4 linked regions of the Arabidopsis thaliana genome follow. The protein of the gene in region 4 interacts with the protein of the main gene of each other region in a pairwise test. Each region holds a gene or a part of one and is shown on either strand. Other genes may lie near its edges. The genes, in order: WIP1, AT5G44920, SUN2 and AT1G71360.

What was found.
Region 1: the proteins of AT1G71360 (region 4) and WIP1 interact in a protein complementation assay, tested with the Arabidopsis thaliana proteins (one study listed by BioGRID).
Region 2: the proteins of AT1G71360 (region 4) and AT5G44920 interact in a protein complementation assay, tested with the Arabidopsis thaliana proteins (one study listed by BioGRID).
Region 3: the proteins of AT1G71360 (region 4) and SUN2 interact in a protein complementation assay, tested with the Arabidopsis thaliana proteins (one study listed by BioGRID).

What each region holds. Positions count from the first base shown.
Region 1 is NC_003075.7:13,363,489-13,368,089, reverse strand, and holds WIP1 (WPP domain interacting protein 1), read right to left. Parts: upstream 2,808-4,601; 5' UTR 2,354-2,807; coding exon 1,471-2,353; intron 1,293-1,470; coding exon 706-1,292; 3' UTR 559-705; downstream 1-558. Other genes in the region: LRE (lorelei), read left to right, coding at 81-445; AT4G26450 (uncharacterized protein), read right to left, coding at 3,170-3,225, 3,309-3,387, 3,463-3,616, 3,697-4,601. UniProt on the Arabidopsis thaliana protein: Mediates and enhances the nuclear envelope docking of RANGAP proteins mediated by WIT1 and WIT2 in the undifferentiated cells of root tips.
Region 2 is NC_003076.8:18,137,061-18,140,690, forward strand, and holds AT5G44920 (Toll-Interleukin-Resistance (TIR) domain family protein), read left to right. Parts: upstream 1-1,714; 5' UTR 1,715-1,904; coding exon 1,905-2,407; intron 2,408-2,669; coding exon 2,670-2,934; 3' UTR 2,935-3,130; downstream 3,131-3,630. Other genes in the region: AT5G44910 (Toll-Interleukin-Resistance (TIR) domain family protein), read left to right, coding at 294-763, 920-1,175; ARAD2 (Exostosin family protein), read right to left, coding at 3,566-3,630. UniProt on the Arabidopsis thaliana protein: Could play a role in nuclear morphology, specifically nuclear size.
Region 3 is NC_003074.8:3,357,755-3,362,663, reverse strand, and holds SUN2 (SAD1/UNC-84 domain protein 2), read left to right. Parts: upstream 1-1,961; 5' UTR 1,962-2,141; coding exon 2,142-3,221; intron 3,222-3,820; coding exon 3,821-4,108; 3' UTR 4,109-4,376; downstream 4,377-4,909. Other genes in the region: ASD1 (alpha-L-arabinofuranosidase 1), read left to right, coding at 66-210, 293-411, 498-569, 659-762, 844-900, 981-1,170, 1,246-1,392, 1,475-1,633. UniProt on the Arabidopsis thaliana protein: Component of SUN-protein-containing multivariate complexes also called LINC complexes which link the nucleoskeleton and cytoskeleton by providing versatile outer nuclear membrane attachment sites for cytoskeletal filaments.
Region 4 is NC_003070.9:26,891,576-26,896,284, reverse strand, and holds AT1G71360 (Galactose-binding protein), read left to right. Parts: upstream 1-2,038; 5' UTR 2,039-2,040; coding exon 2,041-2,281; intron 2,282-2,443; coding exon 2,444-4,071; 3' UTR 4,072-4,209; downstream 4,210-4,709. UniProt on the Arabidopsis thaliana protein: Encodes a member of the mid-SUN subfamily of SUN-domain proteins that is localized to both the nuclear envelope and the ER. It is involved in early seed development and nuclear morphology. [TAIR].

The sequences.
Region 1 (4,601 bases), on a different chromosome or scaffold from region 4:
CAGTGTATCAAGTTTGTGTATAGATAAGTATATATAAGTGGTGTGACACTAACTCTTGTTTTTTGTTTGGTTGGAAACAGAATGTGAAGTGAACTTTGAGTATATGGACTACAAGGTCTTGACAAAGAGGTGCAAAGGTCCAGCGTTTCCAGCCAAAGAATGTTGCTCTGCTTTTAAAGAATTTGCATGTCCTTACGTGAGTCAGATCAACGACATGAATAGTGATTGTGCACAGACAATGTTCAGCTACATGAATATTTATGGAAACTACCCTACTGGCCTTTTCGCTAACGAGTGCAGAGAAAGGAAAGATGGGCTTGTTTGCCCTTTACCACCTCTCTATTCACATAACCTAAACGCCTCAACTGCTGATTCGACTCCTCGTTTTATCTCGCTGTTGATCTCTGCTGCAACCGCTGTTTTTGCTTTGTTAGTGTTGACTTGATCAATCAAAGGAAATTGAAAGAGCCAAAGAGTGATTACATTTTGATACCATATTAGCTAACAAACTAGATAGAATTATCAAATTGTTCTGTTACTGACCAAGTGTCCAAGTGTAAAGAATACTTGACCTCCAAAATAAACAAAAGAAGAAGCGAGACTTACTTGATTAATTTTATTACCAGAGGCAAAACTTATAGCCGAATTGTTAACAAGAAAAGCCAAAAGCCAAAACAAAACTCAGTTTACATCAAAAATCAAAAGTCATGTGGGTACAACAGTATCTGGCTCCGGCAACAATTGAGACAGGAGCAACAAAACTACTGTTGACAGCAATACTAACTGTATAAGAACGTATGAAGTGATCTTACATGCTCTCTTCTTGATGGTCCCGGTGATTTCTATGCAATCGTTTTGCAGGTCTTGAGCTCTGTTTGTAAAATTTGCAGCCTTCGTTTGTACTCTTCCTAGCTTATTCAGCGTCTCATGGGTTTGCTCTTCTGCCAATGACTCTTGTTCATCAATTAACTTCATCTGACTGTTTAAGTTATCGATAGATCTTGAATATATCAGATATTCAATCTCGGCCTCAATCTTCTGCCGGAAGATGTCTTCAACCACAATCTCTGTTCCTCCCCACGAGTGTTTGCTTTGGTTCGTGGTGGATTCAAGGTCACGGATGTGTGATTCTTTCACCTCAAGCATGGACCTTGTTTCTTCTAGCATGTTCTCCAGTTGTTCAACATTGTTTACCAGGGTTACAATCTCGGGGTGAGGTGAATTTGCTTCGCTGACTTGTTCATGATGCTGTGGCATTGGTTCATTCCCGATCTCCTGGAATTGCTGAACCTCTGCAAATGAAATTTCATAAAGAGTCACATTAAACATCATAATCATTGTTCATGTGATGTTATTAGTTGATTCCAACATGATAATGCAGGCTCATAACAAGAAATAGTTATGTAACAGCAGTAAAAATAATGCAAGTTTAGATACAATCCGCAGCAAAAAAATAATCAGAATGGCTACCTTTTTCAAGAGCATCTTGCAAGGCCAAGAAACCGTTGATGGCCTCTGTTAATGGATCCATTTCATCTGAGTAACGATTGTCCGTGTTTATCGACTCTCCGCCTTCTCCTCCCGCATCATCTTTTCTCATTGACGTTTCCCCATTTTCACCATTGTAGTCCATCATTCTTCCACTCTGCTTTCTTGAGTCAGATTCCAAGCTGGAATAAGAGTTTTCCTTCTCGAAATCGACACTTTCTCCTCTATGTTTCTTACTATTCTCTACACGAATGTTTCCTCCCTGACCTGAACTAATCATTGGCTTCTCATACCTAATAACCTTGGGAGCTCTTGCAACCGTGGAAGACTTACTACTCCGATCATCATCTATCTCTAAATCCATACCAGCTGAAAAACCAACCCCTGCCACAAACCTAGAATCGTAACCACTACTCCCAAGTATATCAAAACCATCACCGCTACTTTTCAACATATTAACAGACCCAACAGATCCCTGACTCTCTTGTTCAACTTCCGGTGACTGAAACTGCATCTGTTTACCATGTGAATGAGCAACACCTGACAACCCTCTCTTCAGAGCTTTACTATTCTCCATATTCGCAGACGTGTCCTTAACAAGATCTCTCCTAATCCTCCTCCATTTTCTCAAGCCTTGTCCTTTCAAAACCGGAGAATAAGCACCACCACCATCACCTGGTGAATCAAAACTCATAGGTTTACCGAGTTCAACAGAATTAGAAGTCGAAAGCAGTTTCACACTCTCATCAGAGCAAGACCCGTTATCCAAACTCCTACCATCATCACAAACGTTGCTGGCACTTTGTTGAATCAAAACATTATCATCAACAGACTCAAGTGCAGAGCTTTCACTCTCCAAATCCATTGACTCCACAAAAAAATCTATCCCCCACCAAATTCACATCGGTTTCAGAAGTAACAGGAGCTCAGATCAATAACCCAAAACCCGAAATGAGGATCCCAAATTCGATCATACACAATCAAAAAGTCAACTCAACAAGCTATACAAATTCATTGGTTCCTTGACGGTTAAATAGAAATATAAAGGTCTAAAATTTCCTACCATGCCACCATCTATCGGATCAAAGAAGAGAAGAAATGATTCCAAAAATGAAAATCCAGCTCAATGGAAGAACACAGATTTCGAATTGAATCGCAAAGTTTTGGTCTTTTTGGAGAAAGGAAGGGTATACAGCAGAGAGATGGAAAAAGGAGGGTGAAAAGTGAAAACCCTAATCCAATGATCGGATTCGCAGATCTATAATTCTCTCGTTCAATGTGGAAAGTTTCTTTGTGGGAAAAAGTTTATTCTTTTTTCCCTCATGATCAATTTTGTTCCTTTTTGAAAATTACGTGTGGGTGGTTGGAATATAACACGTGTCGGAATCGCCTGACCTCTCAGCATCACCTTCTTCATTTTTGACCGTGAGATTGGACACGACATATATATACCGTTAATAATTATCATTTTGGTTATTACAATTTCAGAAAATTGTTGAACTGACCTAAAACATGGGGACAGTGTGAGAATAAACAGAGAATTACAAAGGGTACATACAACCATAAAACACCACAAGTCACATTCTTACATCATCTGAGAGGATTGAGATTAGCACAAACGAAATTGGGCTACTACACACTCATTACACAGACTGAAGAAACATAACAAAAAAAAAGAGAATCAGAAAGGCTTCTCGTAGCCTCGAGCTGGAGGTTGGTCCCAAGCTTGCAAGAATGCTGCACAATTGCAAAGACATAATGAATCTCAGCTCTTTAAGAAGCTAAAATAGAAAAGAGAAAGAATTTGATATTGGTCTTACTCAATGGTATTTCTCCGAGTGACATGAAGATCGAATCATCGTCTGTATTATTTGGTACTTGGTCATTTCCAATAGCTCCCTGAGACGTTTTCAGGATCTGTTAGCAACAACAAACATTCTATGTGACATAAAACTTGACAAGTAGAGTAGGTACCTCTCGGTCTTGAAGGCTAACTGTGTTGTTATTCTGTGGGACACTACTGGTTCCCTGGTTTATTGGAGTAAAGGAATCAAGATACTCTACCATCATGAGTCTTTCATTGTAGTCTGGGACGTCATCGATGCCCATATATGGAGCAGCTTCTTGCCTGTTAGATATGAAAACCCATTAGCCAAAATGTAATAGGTGTGTGTATATATAAGTGTTAAGAGTAGGACTTGGCCGTACTTTCTTCCTGGATCATTGCTGGACTTTACCACTTCTTGATCATCATCCAAATTAATCACTTCTATCTCTTTACCATTGCTCATCCGAGTACTCGTACCAAACTCGAGAGACTTACTAGAACTGCTGATTGAGAGATCAAAATCAACAGCTTGACGAGATTCCTTTATCCCATCATTCACATCCGACGCTCCCCCTAGATTTAGGTCACACATCTTAAACGAAGCAGGAAACAGCTGATGTTCTTCAGCATACCCTGGACCTGTTCTGCCAGTGTGTGTCCTATTGTATGTAGAGTTATTAACCAGACTTTCATGGCTGACCCTTTTTCCAGCAGCACCGTCAATCAGTCTTTTGTTGAACGAGCTTGTCTTTCCTTCTTCTTCCGGATCGCATTGGTTTCCGCTTGTTTTAAACATGTTGAAGCGTTCATTAGCTTCAGAAACTGCCACCCAATCTCTCTGTCTTTTTGATCCCTCCTCCAAGTCACTGCCTTCACCAGGCCTTTTCTCACCTACTTTCCCCACCGAATGTGATCTGTGCAGATTAGGCAATTCTAATCCTGATTCTTTCTCACTGTTATCCCTGAGAATGCTACTGGGAAAAGAATTAGACCTATGACATTTACTGTTCTCAATATATTGAACAAGAGCAAAATCTTCAACTTGGTCATTTTCATCACCAGTACTATCGGCCTTTCCAGATGATTGGCCTCGAGTCTCACATCGATTTTCGGTTTGATCTTCTTCTTCAAGTCCAGAATTATGAGAGGTATCCTTGATATTATGACTCAAATAAAGCTTTGGGCCTTTTGCAGTCAGAGAAGAGCGTGTCCTCGTAGGCACCTTCTCAAATTTACACAGCGTTGCCAAATCAATACCACTCTTGGTGAATGATTCATCAGCCCC
Region 2 (3,630 bases), on a different chromosome or scaffold from region 4:
ATCTAATACAAGAATAGTTTAAGGATAGTTTACATTTGTTCATTGAATATAGATGAACAAATATCTAAATATTTGTCCTATATTTCCAATTTTTCCATAAAAAATAATAAAGAAGACAGTTGCCAAGAGTTGACTTTTGAAATGAATTTTTCCTAAAAAAGAAATAAATGCTTTGACTTTTGAAATGAATTGGTCCAAAACAAGAAATGAATCTTTTACTTTTCCAGCTTCTTCTTCTCCATATATTCATGAAGAAAAATTAAAGCAAGAAAGTCTCAACTCTCAACCCTCCCATGGCAGAACCACCACCGTACCAACGTCCTCCTCAAGTATTCATTAGTTTCTATGGAAACGAATCGCGCGACAATTTCATCAAATATCTTGTGTGGGGATTGAGAGACGAGAGAGTCAACGTTTTCGTAGACAGAGCAGAAGCAAATAGGAGAGACATACGAAATATTTCCACAAAGATCGAGGAGTCGAATATCGCGGTCGTCATCTTCTCCAAGAGGTATACAGAGTCAGAGATGTGCTTGAACGAGCTTCAAAAGATGTACGAGCACGTAGAACAAAGCAACCTTAAGGTGATACCTGTCTTCTATGATGTGAGCATAAGCGGTGTAAAGAACCTCGAGGATGAATTCGGTAATCATTTCGAGGAACTGAGGGAGAAATACGCAAACGATCCACTCAAGATCTTGAAGTGGGAGGATTCATTGAGTTCAATAGTAGAGCGGACCGGCTTAACCTCCGAAGACCACGGGTAATTATTCTTTTGATGAAATTTATAAGTAGTGAAAACACAAACTGTTTTGAATTTTCTATGAATTTTTTTTTTAGTCAATTCTTGTTAATTTGTTCTTAGGAAGACTACTTATTTGAGCTCATTTAACGGTTTCTTCCTGACATATGTTTGCAGAACGGGTTTAGGTCTTGTGAGGGCAATCGTCACGGCGGTTAAGAGCGAGCTAATGGACTCTGAAAGACAAAATATTACTAAAGGACAAGTGTTTGTTTTGGCTTCAGCTGCGGTTTTTATCTGTAGTCTCATTGTAGCTCGTTTACTATGCACTGATGTGAAAGTTAATAAAGCTGTTAAGTGTTTACTAGGGTTTCCAGTTTTGGCTGGTATCTTGCACCAGCTTTACTGTCTACGGACCCAACCAAACAGATGATGACCTCTTGATTAATCACCAACTTGTGGTCAAATGGCTTTTGATACGATTGGAGAAGCAAGTAAAGAAAAGAAAGAAGCAGAGGCAGTCAACACCGTTGACTGTGTGTGTTGACTGTGTGATGAGCTGGGAAGGAAAGCAAAGTCTCTGGGCATGACAAAGGGTTTGCGGTTGCAGGCTTGGGAGTATAAATAAGGAGAGATATCGATTTAGAGAATCTATGCTTATTGTTGATTGTTGTTGAATTGTGTGAGTCTTGCATGAGAGACTTGAGAGTTGAGCTAGTGATGTGCTAGTCTCTCTCATATGGTGTACTGAGAGCTGACCTAGTGATGTGCTAGTCTCTCTCGTGTATGGTGTGTTAGTGTGTACTGGTTTGGTTAAGGAATCGGAGGTATCGATATTGGAAACTTAACAGTTTTGCACTGTTTGGCTATAGATTACATCTCTGTTTAGTTGTTTCACTCTTTATAGTTTGTCTTCAAAAACATTATTTACCCGACCCATGACCCAGGATTTAGAGTATTTGGATCCATTGAGACAATAATGTTGTATAATATTAAAGAAAGACTGAGGATAGGCGCAGACTTGGCATCGAGCCACTGATTGGTCTGAAGAATTAAAGAATCGTTTCTCTGTAATGTATTTTAAAGGACAAAGTGAGACAACAAAGTCTCTCACCAACTATATTCACTATTTTTTATTCAGACGAACCTAGACACCATTCCAATGGATGAGCAGGTCCAAGAACCTCTTTCTGATCAGGTGTTTATCAACTTCCGAGGAGATGAGCTGCGCGAAATCTTTGTCAACCATCTAGAGCTGCAATTAAGAAACGCAGGGATCAACGTCTTCATAGACACTAAAGAGCAGAAAGGGAGAAGACTACAATATCTCTTCACAAGGATCAAGAAGTCAAAAATCGCGCTTGCTATCTTCTCCAAGAGGTACTGTGAGTCAAAGTGGTGTTTGGATGAGCTTGTGACGATGAATGAACAGATGAAGGAAAAGAAACTCGTGGTGATTCCAATCTTCTATAACGTAAGATCGGACGATGTAAAAAGAGCAGCCAATCCCGATGGAGAAGGCAATCTTGATGGAGAGTTTTCCCTTCCTTTTAAGCAACTGAAGCAAAACCATGCAGGGGAGCCTGAGAGGGTCGAGGGTTGGGAGCGTGCCCTGAGATCTGTGACAAAAAGAATAGGGTTTTCCCGGTCAAACTCAAAGTACAAGTAATACTTCAAAATACATGTATTCTTGATTATGTTTGGATCTATGCCCGACTGATCTTTGATTAGTAGATCTCTTTGGTAAGGAGTTTTCCGCAAATCCACCAAGGCACCAACCCACTTGACCGAGCGATATATGCCGAAACTTGACCGCTCGAGTTTTCTTGATGATTCTTGTATTATTGATATAACCAAAAAAAAGTAAAAACCTACTTGCATCATCTTCTTCTTTCTCTAACTCATGTTATAATTTTTTTTTTTGCAGACACGATACCGATTTTGTTTTGGATATTGTTAAGGAGGTTAAGAAACAGCTAAACATACCAACTGACAACAGTTGGTCAGCTATAGGAGTTGCTTTCTTGGCTATAACCATCAACTTGATCTTTAGTTTCTTCATTGCCCCTAAGTATCTCCCTGATCAGAAGTTTTTCCAGACTCCTGAATGGTTCATAGGTACTCTGGCAGTTGTTCTTGCGTCGTGGTTTTGGTACAAAAATAACCAGAACAAAGCACCACCTCCTTCATAAGTGGCTTTTGTGCAACTTTATGCTGTTTGTTTGTGTGTTGTTTAAATGGGGTGTTAAAGATCATTTGGTTGCTTTGTACATTTGTGTGTCTCTTTGTTAATAATTGTGTTGTAATTGTCAGTTACTATTTTAAAGAACAAACTTGTGCTTTGTATTACTCTGTTTCTGTTCTCTGTGTAGGCTCTATGACTAGAAATTCTCATTGCCCTAAAAGTCTTTTGCTTCTCCATTGGTTAGCTAATAATGTAAATGGTTGATTTCATCACTTGTGTGGTGGTCTTTGAGTATTAGCAAATTAAAAGATAAAATGTACCTCTCTTTGCTTGAATCTCTCTTGATATTTAACACTCCCAAAGTCAAAACCCACCAGGAAACGCGCATTCTTGATCAAACCCTTGACCCGGAATTAGAGAGTGATGTGGTTTCTCTTGTTGTTCCTATATAAAAAGAAAAGGCTTAGAAAGGCGTACTGAGTCATGTATTTGGGAAAAAACGAAGAACAAAGAATGGTTCTAGTTATAATTTATAAGGACTAAATGATCACATTTCTTTACCTTTCCAGTCTTTGATTCATCATTAATAATGATCACATTTTGTTGCTTAGCATGAGCTTGCTAGGCATTTAACCTTACTAGACACCATGGATGATCCCGGTTTGGTTTGAGCATAAACAAGAACATTGAGGGTCACTTCCAT
Region 3 (4,909 bases), on a different chromosome or scaffold from region 4:
AACCTTCCTCTGTTTCACTAGTGAAGAAGCCGGAAAACCAAAACTTTCTCCTCTTTTTGTTTCAGGAAGCACTCGACGGTATCGAGTTTGCCCGAGGAGATGCCAATTCTACTTGGGGATCTGTTCGAGCTAAAATGGGACGCCAAGAACCTTTTGAACTTAAATACGTTGCTATTGGAAATGAAGATTGTGGGAAAACTTACTACAGAGGTTTTGCATTTCTCTATGATCACATCTTGACTTAGATTTTTGTTGAGCATCTTTGACACTAAATGAGATTACAACTTTACAGGAAACTACATTGTGTTCTATGATGCTATCAAGAAAGCCTATCCAGATATCAAAATCATCTCCAACTGCGATGGATCCTCTCATCCACTCGACCACCCAGCTGATTACTATGACTATCACGTAAAATTTTCTATCTTGACAGAAACTGTAACCGTTGTCTTGTGTTCTCTCTTCCGCCTGAAAAAAGTGTTTCCTTTTTGTCACAGATTTACACTTCTGCTAGCAATTTGTTTTCCATGTATCATCAATTTGATCGCACTTCACGCAAAGGTCCAAAGGTGCGGTAATAGATTATAACAAAACTTAATTCCAACAAACACAAGATGAAGCTTTCAGCGTTTTACTCACTCGTGAACTTTGTTTACAGGCTTTTGTCAGTGAATATGCTGTTACTGGAAAAGATGCTGGTACAGGAAGCCTTCTTGCCTCTCTTGCAGAAGCTGCGTTTCTCATTGGTCTTGAAAAGAATAGGTTCCCTTTGAATTTCTCTTCCCAGGCTTTGATCTCAACTAAAAACATCAAATAAGTTAAACATCTTATGACTTTTTGCAGTGACATTGTTGAAATGGCAAGTTATGCTCCACTCTTTGTGAACACAAATGATAGACGGTATCTCTCACTTACTTTTCCGTTCGAATGGTTACTCAGGAAGATAAGGCAATAATCTCAAATTGTTAAATTGGTTTCAGGTGGAACCCTGATGCAATAGTCTTCAACTCCTCTCATCTATATGGAACACCTAGCTATTGGGTTCAACGGTTTTTTGCAGAGTCAAGCGGAGCAACTCTTCTCACTTCAACACTCAAGGGAAACTCTACTTCTCTTGTTGCATCTGCTATCTCTTGGAAAAACAATGGCAAAGATTACATACGCATAAAGGTAAACCGAGTGAAAGATTCAACCGGAGCTCTGATATTGACCCTAAAAAACTGTTTCAAAATCTGTTATTTGCAGGCTGTAAACTTCGGAGCTAACTCAGAAAATATGCAAGTGTTGGTAACTGGATTGGACCCGAACGTGATGAGAGTTTCGGGATCAAAGAAGACAGTACTTACCTCTACCAATGTGATGGATGAAAATTCCTTCTCACAGCCAGAGAAGGTAAAAATCAAGAGATGGAAGAAACATCATTATCATCACAAATTCTGAGTGTTCCCATGTTCTTATTGGTTTTTATTTGCAGGTTGTACCACATGAAAGCTTGCTAGAGTTGGCAGAGGAGGATATGACCGTTGTTCTCCCGCCACATTCCTTTTCTTCATTCGATTTGTTGAAGGAATCTGCAAAGATAAGAATGCCAATCTCTGATTCTTCTTCCCATCAGAAAACTACCACTGTGTGAAGAGAAACAATGACAAGGAAGTATCAACTTTCATGTCAAAAGTCTCTTTGTGGTTCAAATCTAATTACATTCCATAAATGCTTATAACGTACCCTTGTGTATATATAATAATAGTCTGGTGAATAAATTTACTTTCTTTAATCATGAGCTTATCTCGACTCTAGATATCTTGATATGCAAGAATGATGAAGCAACAGTTTCTTCTTAGCATAAAAGAAGATGACGAGGCGTGAAAGTGGGCTGGGCCATTTTATTTCCATTATTGGGCTTTTAAAAGCCCATCATAATGAATTTTGAAAAAAATGGAGGAGCATCAAAACAAATAAAAATGGCGAAACTGAAGAACACACGATTCAGATTTTCAAAATTGAATTTTGTAGTGATCTCTCTCCTATATAAACTTCCTCACTCTTCTTCCATTTCAAATCTCTCTCTCTGTAGTCAAAATTAGGGTTTATTTATTCATAAGGAAGAGCATTTCGAATTCTGTAGTTCAAAATTGAAGATCATGTCGGCGTCAACGGTGTCAATCACCGCTAGTCCTAGGACAATAAGGCGGACGCCGGTTCTCTCCGGTGAGAAGAAATCTAATTTTGATTTCCCGCCGAGCGAATCTCATGCCAATGCGGCAATTGGAGAGTCGTCTGCTGGTACGAACAAGGATCTGATTCGCGCCGAGGCTGCCGGTGAGAGATCCAACACCTACGACGTAGGTCCGGTGACAAGGAAATCAGGATCCACCGCGACGGGGACTAATACAACCACCACGCAGCGTCGGACGCGGAAGTCTCAGGGGAATAAGATAGATAGAGGGAAATGGAAGACAGTGGTTAGGGTATTCGCGAAGCAATTTGGGGCTCTTTTGTTACTTGTTGGATTGATTCAGTTGATTAGGAAATTGACTTTGAAGGATTCGTCTCTGTCTTCTTCGAATTTCCCAATTGAAACGGAAATGGTGCTTTCGGAATTGGAGAGTCGGATTTCTGCAGTTGATGGTTTGGTGAAGACTACGACGAAGATGATGCAGGTTCAAGTTGAGTTTCTTGATAAGAAGATGGATAGTGAATCAAGAGCATTGAGGCAGACGATAGATTCCACATCTTCTGTGTTACATAGTGAGTTGAAGAAGGTAGAGTCTAAGACAGAGAGGTTACAGGTTTCTGTAGATGAGTTAAATGCTAAACCTTTGGTGTCTAGAGAGGAGTTAGAGAGAGTTTACGAGGAGTTGAAGAAGGGTAAGGTCGGTGATTCTGATGTTAACATTGATAAACTGAGGGCTTATGCTCGTGACATAGTGGAGAAAGAGATAGGGAAACATGTTGCAGATGGCCTTGGTCGAGTAGATTATGCGTTAGCGTCTGGTGGAGCTTTTGTAATGGGGCATTCGGATCCGTTTCTTGTTGGAAATGGGCGTAATTGGTTTGGGACAAGCAGGAGACGGGTTCATAGCAAAGCGGTTAAGATGTTAACTCCGAGTTTCGGGGAGCCTGGACAGTGTTTTCCTCTGAAAGGAAGCAATGGATATGTTCTAGTCAGGCTAAGAGCACCAATAATTCCAGAAGCTGTTACTTTGGAACATGTCTCTAAGGTAGTACTAACATCTCAATACTAAACTTTCACAAAATGATTGATTTTTATATGTTAATTTGAGCCTTCAAGAAGGGTTCTCTGTTAAATGTTGTTGGTATTGAGATGCCCTGTACTTCGGATTGGATTGCTGGTGACAATAGGTTATCGAATAGAGGGCAAGAAACTAGTTTTGTGAATTTGAGTTCTTATAGTTTGAGGTTTAGTTTAGGCACTAGCTGTGACAATATGCATTGAGGAGGATTTTACCTATTGTTATTTTCTGCAAATCACTAGCTTTAGCAGTTCCTTTGTCTAATATCAATGCCACTGTGTTGTTGTGCTTTGTTTGGGACATCGTTGACAGAGAAAAGAACCGTATGTATGGGAAGAGCTTGTAAGTTTACAATTAGTGGAACTGTAATATTCACTGTTTACGGATATCCTTAGGAAACAGTAGCTGAAGGGAAATAGTCTCAAGAGTGTGTAATGTGATGGTCACACATTGCTTTCCATCATTGTTCATCCTTGTGATCATTTGTCTGATAAATTTCTTCTTGTCTGACCACTAAAAGGCAATACTAATCTTACGGTTATGTTATGCACCATTTAATCGAACAGGCTGTAGCATATGACAGATCGAGCGCCCCAAAGGATTGCCGTGTATCAGGATGGCTAGGTGACATAGATATGGAGACTGAGACAATGCCCCTTCTTACAGAATTCAGTTACGACTTAGACAGGTCCAATGCACAGACATTCGACATTGCAGACTCTGCTCACTCAGGACTTGTCAACACTGTCAGGCTAGACTTCAATTCCAACCATGGAAGCTCTTCACACACTTGCATCTACCGCTTCAGGGTTCATGGCCGTGAACTAGACTCAGTCTCTGTTGCTCATGCTTGATCTGAAAGTCCACGTCAAACTTTTCTTCTCTTTGTAACATTCCCTCTAATAGATATCTCTCTTCTTTTTTTGTGTTAGTTTATGTGGTGGGAAAGCTTCTCTTAGTCTGTAATCAGAATCATTTGGTTGTATTCGTGATTATTAGCTTCAAATCTGTTTTGGTTCGGTTTATTTGGTCAGGGTATGTATCCTCCGAATTGAATAATATAGATCTTAGTTTGATGTCCGGTTTTGGTTTTGTAACAGAGTTTCAATTTAAGCTTTCACCTAAAACAAATCATACAAATTCTAATAGAGTATACATATTTCATTAGTTGAAACAAATATTGAATTTGGATTATTAATGGTTACCTTGGGTACTTGGTATTACAACGATATGTGATGAATAGGAAGAGTGTGTATATAGATGGACCATAACTTGTTAGTGTGAATTGCGTAATCGACAAAGTGACGACTTCTTCTTCTAGGCTGCACCGTCTTGCCTTGTCTAAAAGCTTCCCAACACATCACATGCAAAATCTACGGTCAAATAATAGATATGAAACCCTCTTCCAAGTCAACACAGCTTGTTTGATTATAAATTAAATTAAATACAAATTCATCTTTGACATGTCTGATTAATGTTAATTTTTTACAGTGTCAACTGGCATAACAAATTGAGCTAAACAAAATTAAGCTCTAAAAATAGCCATTTTTTACGGTTAAATCACATGAAGAAACCTTTCCTAACCAAGTCAACCCATGTTTGGTCGTCGTGACGGTGGACCACCGGCTCCAAAAAAACTCTTCATTTGACCAAAA
Region 4 (4,709 bases):
AAGAGTAAAAATGAAAGAAGAGGTCGGCCAAAGGCGAGGTCGACGCAGATGAAAACGCCAGGTGTCTCAGAAGAAGGGAGCAATCGAAGCTGGATCTCTCTTTACGCCACGTCATTTTTAGTCAACATCATGTGGGACCCATTTCCTTAACCGTCATTCTCCTTCTCTACCGTTCACTAGTTTCCTAATTTTGAATTTCAATTATTTATTGGATTTTTAATTTTTATGAAGTAATTTCACACTGACAAATATAGTACTGTAACTTATTCAACTATTCAAACTTGCTACTTTGGTTGCTGCTATATACGATAACACTGTTATAGAAAGGTGTATACTCATTGCTCGTTGGTTTTAAATTGGAATACAAACAAATTTCCAGAAGATAAACAAATTATTGAAAGATAACTTATGTCCTAAGTAATTGGTATGATGGTTTTTACTCTGATAATTAAATTAGTGATTTTGGACAAACGGAAAAATCAGGAAATCTTAAAAATATTTGTTTATTTTGTTTGATCGGTTTGTTGTTGCTGAAAGTTTTTGATCGAAAATTTTGTGATTGAATATTTAGAGTTACTTTGTCAAAGTTGGATACCTAATTACCAAATTGCATTTCCAATCTAAATCTAACTTATACATATGTCTGTATGTTTGTAACTAACATAGGAACACATATGTCTTGTTTTAACGCATATATAATTTTATTTTATTTTGTTGTGATGTTTTGTTACAATCTAAAATATGTAATAGAATTTTTGAATACTTTTAATTTAAAATTTTGGGATATTCCTAATGATGATATTAATAGACCAAAATGAAGTAAATCCATTAGGAAAAAGTGATTGGATCCACATATTCGGGAATATGCATTCCTAAGATAAAAGTTCACTTTTCTTTTTAAACAAAAGTTAAAGAGTCCTAGGATTTAAATGATTTTAAAAAGTTTTTTTTTTTAAATTACTTTTCTTCGTAGGAAGAAACTGAATGAATGTGAAACTGGAATAATAATAATTATGCTTTCTGGAGATATAATAGTTTGAATTGAATACTATAACCAAATAAATATAAGGCCAATACTATAGTGGCTATAACTACTAAACTACATCCATGTCCATTAACCCCACAAATGAATTGGCAACCTCCCCATATGTTAATTTCTATACCCAAATCAAATCAAATTTGGAAAAAACAAAAAAATGTTCATGTACAAAAATATTTAAACGTAGGAAATTTAATAATCAGTTTGAACAACAACAGAGAAGGAAATCTAATAATAATATCTTTAGTCAAAACGTAAAGATAAATATGATAATTTACTTCAATTTAAAATTATTCACTTTACAGCTAAGCACATAATTTTGATTAGAAGGTAAGATATAGTAAGGAAACAAATTTAAAGAAAGTAATTGCAAATTCAAAATTATTGACCGGTACAATCATTTCATGTGTATATTAAATTTGCTCAAAACTCTTCTCACACCCATCTCTGTGTCCATTGTCTTGTCTTTCGCGGATCAGTTCTGTCGACTCTACAGATTCTTCCGCGTTTTTTTCAATTTTCGAAAGTCTCTCTCTTTTTGACTCTTCACCTTTTTTTTTAACACCACAACGGTTAAAAACCCTCGGCTTCTATAAATCCCGTGAAAAAAGTGGGATAGATTGAGGTGCGTTTCATTGATTGTGATGCAGAGACGAGGTAGATCGTCGGAATTTCATCGACCGGGTTTCATTAGATCGGATACTCATCGGAGACGTCGCCGTTGAAAAGGGTTTTGTTACGAAGAAGCCTTCCTTTTCGGTTTGTCTTCCTCAATCACCGATTCGCTTCTCAGGTAAATTCTTACTCCGGCTACTTTCTCCTCAATTCTTCGTCTTTCTACAATTGGATCTGAAAATCATTTGCTGGGTCGTTATCGTTTTTCGATTTCATTGTAAAATTTTGCAGCTTTGACTCAAGTGCTCTGTTGTTATTGCTTGTATTTATGAGATCTTTGTTTCTGTTGTTTAGTTTATACAATTTTGCTTTTAGTTGTGAATCTGATGTGTGTCGTTATGAACAGGTGTGAACAGTATATTAAGTTTTTGTTTGGTGATCTGATCTTATTGGTTGGATGTGAAATGCAAAGATCACGGAGAGCTCTTCTGGTTAGAAGAAGAGTTTCTGAGACTACTTCTAATGGAAGGAATCGCTTCTACAAAGTTTCATTGTCTTTGGTTTTTCTCATATGGGGGCTTGTCTTCTTATCTACATTGTGGATCAGTCATGTTGATGGTGACAAAGGTAACTTTTTGAGTTCCTTATTTGGACAGAATGCAAAACAGTTATTAGAATATGGTTAGAGAACTGAACTTAAGTAATATACGCTCTTAGAGATATGACAATCATGAAGATGTATAGACCATATCTTAAGTGTATCTAAGGCTTACTCTTGGGCATTTGCAGGTAGATCTTTAGTGGATTCAGTTGAAAAAGGTGAACCGGATGATGAAAGGGCAGATGAGACAGCTGAGTCTGTTGATGCAACATCACTAGAGTCTACCTCTGTTCATTCTAATCCTGGATTGAGTTCGGATGTTGATATAGCTGCAGCCGGAGAAAGTAAAGGCTCAGAAACCATCTTGAAGCAATTAGAAGTCGATAACACAATCGTTATCGTAGGAAATGTTACAGAAAGCAAAGACAACGTGCCTATGAAGCAAAGTGAGATAAATAATAACACAGTTCCAGGGAATGATACAGAGACCACTGGTTCAAAGCTTGATCAGCTATCTCGTGCTGTTCCGCTTGGCCTTGATGAGTTCAAGAGCAGAGCGTCCAATTCTAGAGACAAATCTTTGTCAGGCCAAGTAACTGGCGTTATTCATAGGATGGAGCCTGGTGGGAAAGAGTACAATTATGCAGCTGCTTCAAAAGGTGCAAAGGTCTTATCTTCTAACAAGGAAGCAAAAGGAGCTTCAAGCATCATATGCCGGGACAAAGACAAGTATCTCCGAAACCCGTGTTCTACTGAAGGGAAGTTCGTTGTCATAGAACTTTCAGAAGAAACGTTGGTGAACACAATCAAGATTGCAAATTTCGAGCATTACTCTTCCAATCTGAAGGATTTTGAGATTTTGGGGACCTTGGTTTACCCAACTGATACGTGGGTTCATCTAGGGAATTTCACGGCTTTAAACATGAAGCACGAGCAGAACTTTACATTTGCAGATCCCAAATGGGTGAGATATCTAAAGCTAAACTTGCTAAGCCATTACGGTTCAGAATTCTACTGCACCTTGAGTTTACTAGAAGTCTATGGAGTGGACGCTGTGGAGCGAATGCTGGAGGATTTGATATCTATCCAAGACAAGAACATATTGAAACTCCAAGAAGGAGACACTGAGCAGAAAGAGAAGAAGACAATGCAAGCAAAAGAGTCCTTCGAAAGCGATGAAGACAAGAGTAAACAGAAGGAGAAGGAACAAGAAGCCTCACCAGAGAATGCGGTTGTGAAAGATGAAGTATCACTTGAGAAAAGAAAGCTGCCAGATCCGGTGGAAGAGATAAAACATCAACCAGGAAGCAGAATGCCGGGGGACACTGTCTTGAAGATACTGATGCAGAAGATAAGGTCGCTGGACGTGAGCTTATCAGTTCTTGAGAGTTACTTGGAGGAACGGAGCTTGAAATACGGGATGATATTCAAGGAGATGGACCTGGAGGCGAGCAAGAGAGAGAAGGAGGTGGAGACTATGAGACTAGAGGTAGAAGGAATGAAGGAGAGGGAAGAGAATACGAAGAAAGAGGCGATGGAGATGAGAAAGTGGCGGATGAGAGTGGAGACAGAGCTTGAGAAGGCTGAGAATGAGAAAGAGAAAGTGAAGGAGAGGTTAGAGCAAGTGTTGGAAAGACTGGAGTGGATGGAGAAGAAAGGTGTGGTTGTGTTCACAATCTGTGTCGGGTTTGGGACTATAGCAGTTGTAGCCGTGGTTTTTGGTATGGGGATAGTTCGAGCAGAGAAGCAAGGTGGCTTGGCTTGGCTTCTGTTATTGATAAGCTCCACATTCGTTATGTTCATTTTGTCACTTTGATGAGAGAAGAGTTCTCAGTTTTGGTCTTTCTTTTTGTTTTCTAGTTTTTTTCTTACTGTAGAGTTAGCTGAGTCTTCTTTATACCCAATAAAACTATAGAAGTTACCTAGATAAGTTATGATGTGCCTATGAGGTTTCAAATACAAGAGTTTTGTCCGGTTCAATGGAAAAAACTCTTATCAAATCAAAGCTTATACGTAGAAAGAGTTTTCATTGCAGAAAGTTGATTTACAAACAAAACTATTATTCACAGAAAACATTTTCTTATGACCAAAATAATTATAAACATTTTCTTTCAATAATTAACCCTAGCTTCGTCATTGCCACAGAGCAAAGATAGTTTTAAAATTCGAATCCAATCAACCTCTTATACCAATCTCTCACATGTCATCTCCTACTCTTCATAGTTCATCCAAAGTGGGGTTATTTGTCAACGTAACTTCAGCATAAAACTGAGCTTTATACTAGAGAGAAATAAAGTTAGCTATAATCATTTATAAACTGAAGATTGATGGAGGTTTATTAATGGTTAATAAACCTTTCCAAAAATAGGCGTATGCCGCTAAGAACAGAGAAGACACGGTATTCTTTAGTAAAAGGCGAAAGAACAGTTCGCTTTGTCTTCACTGCACAGCTCC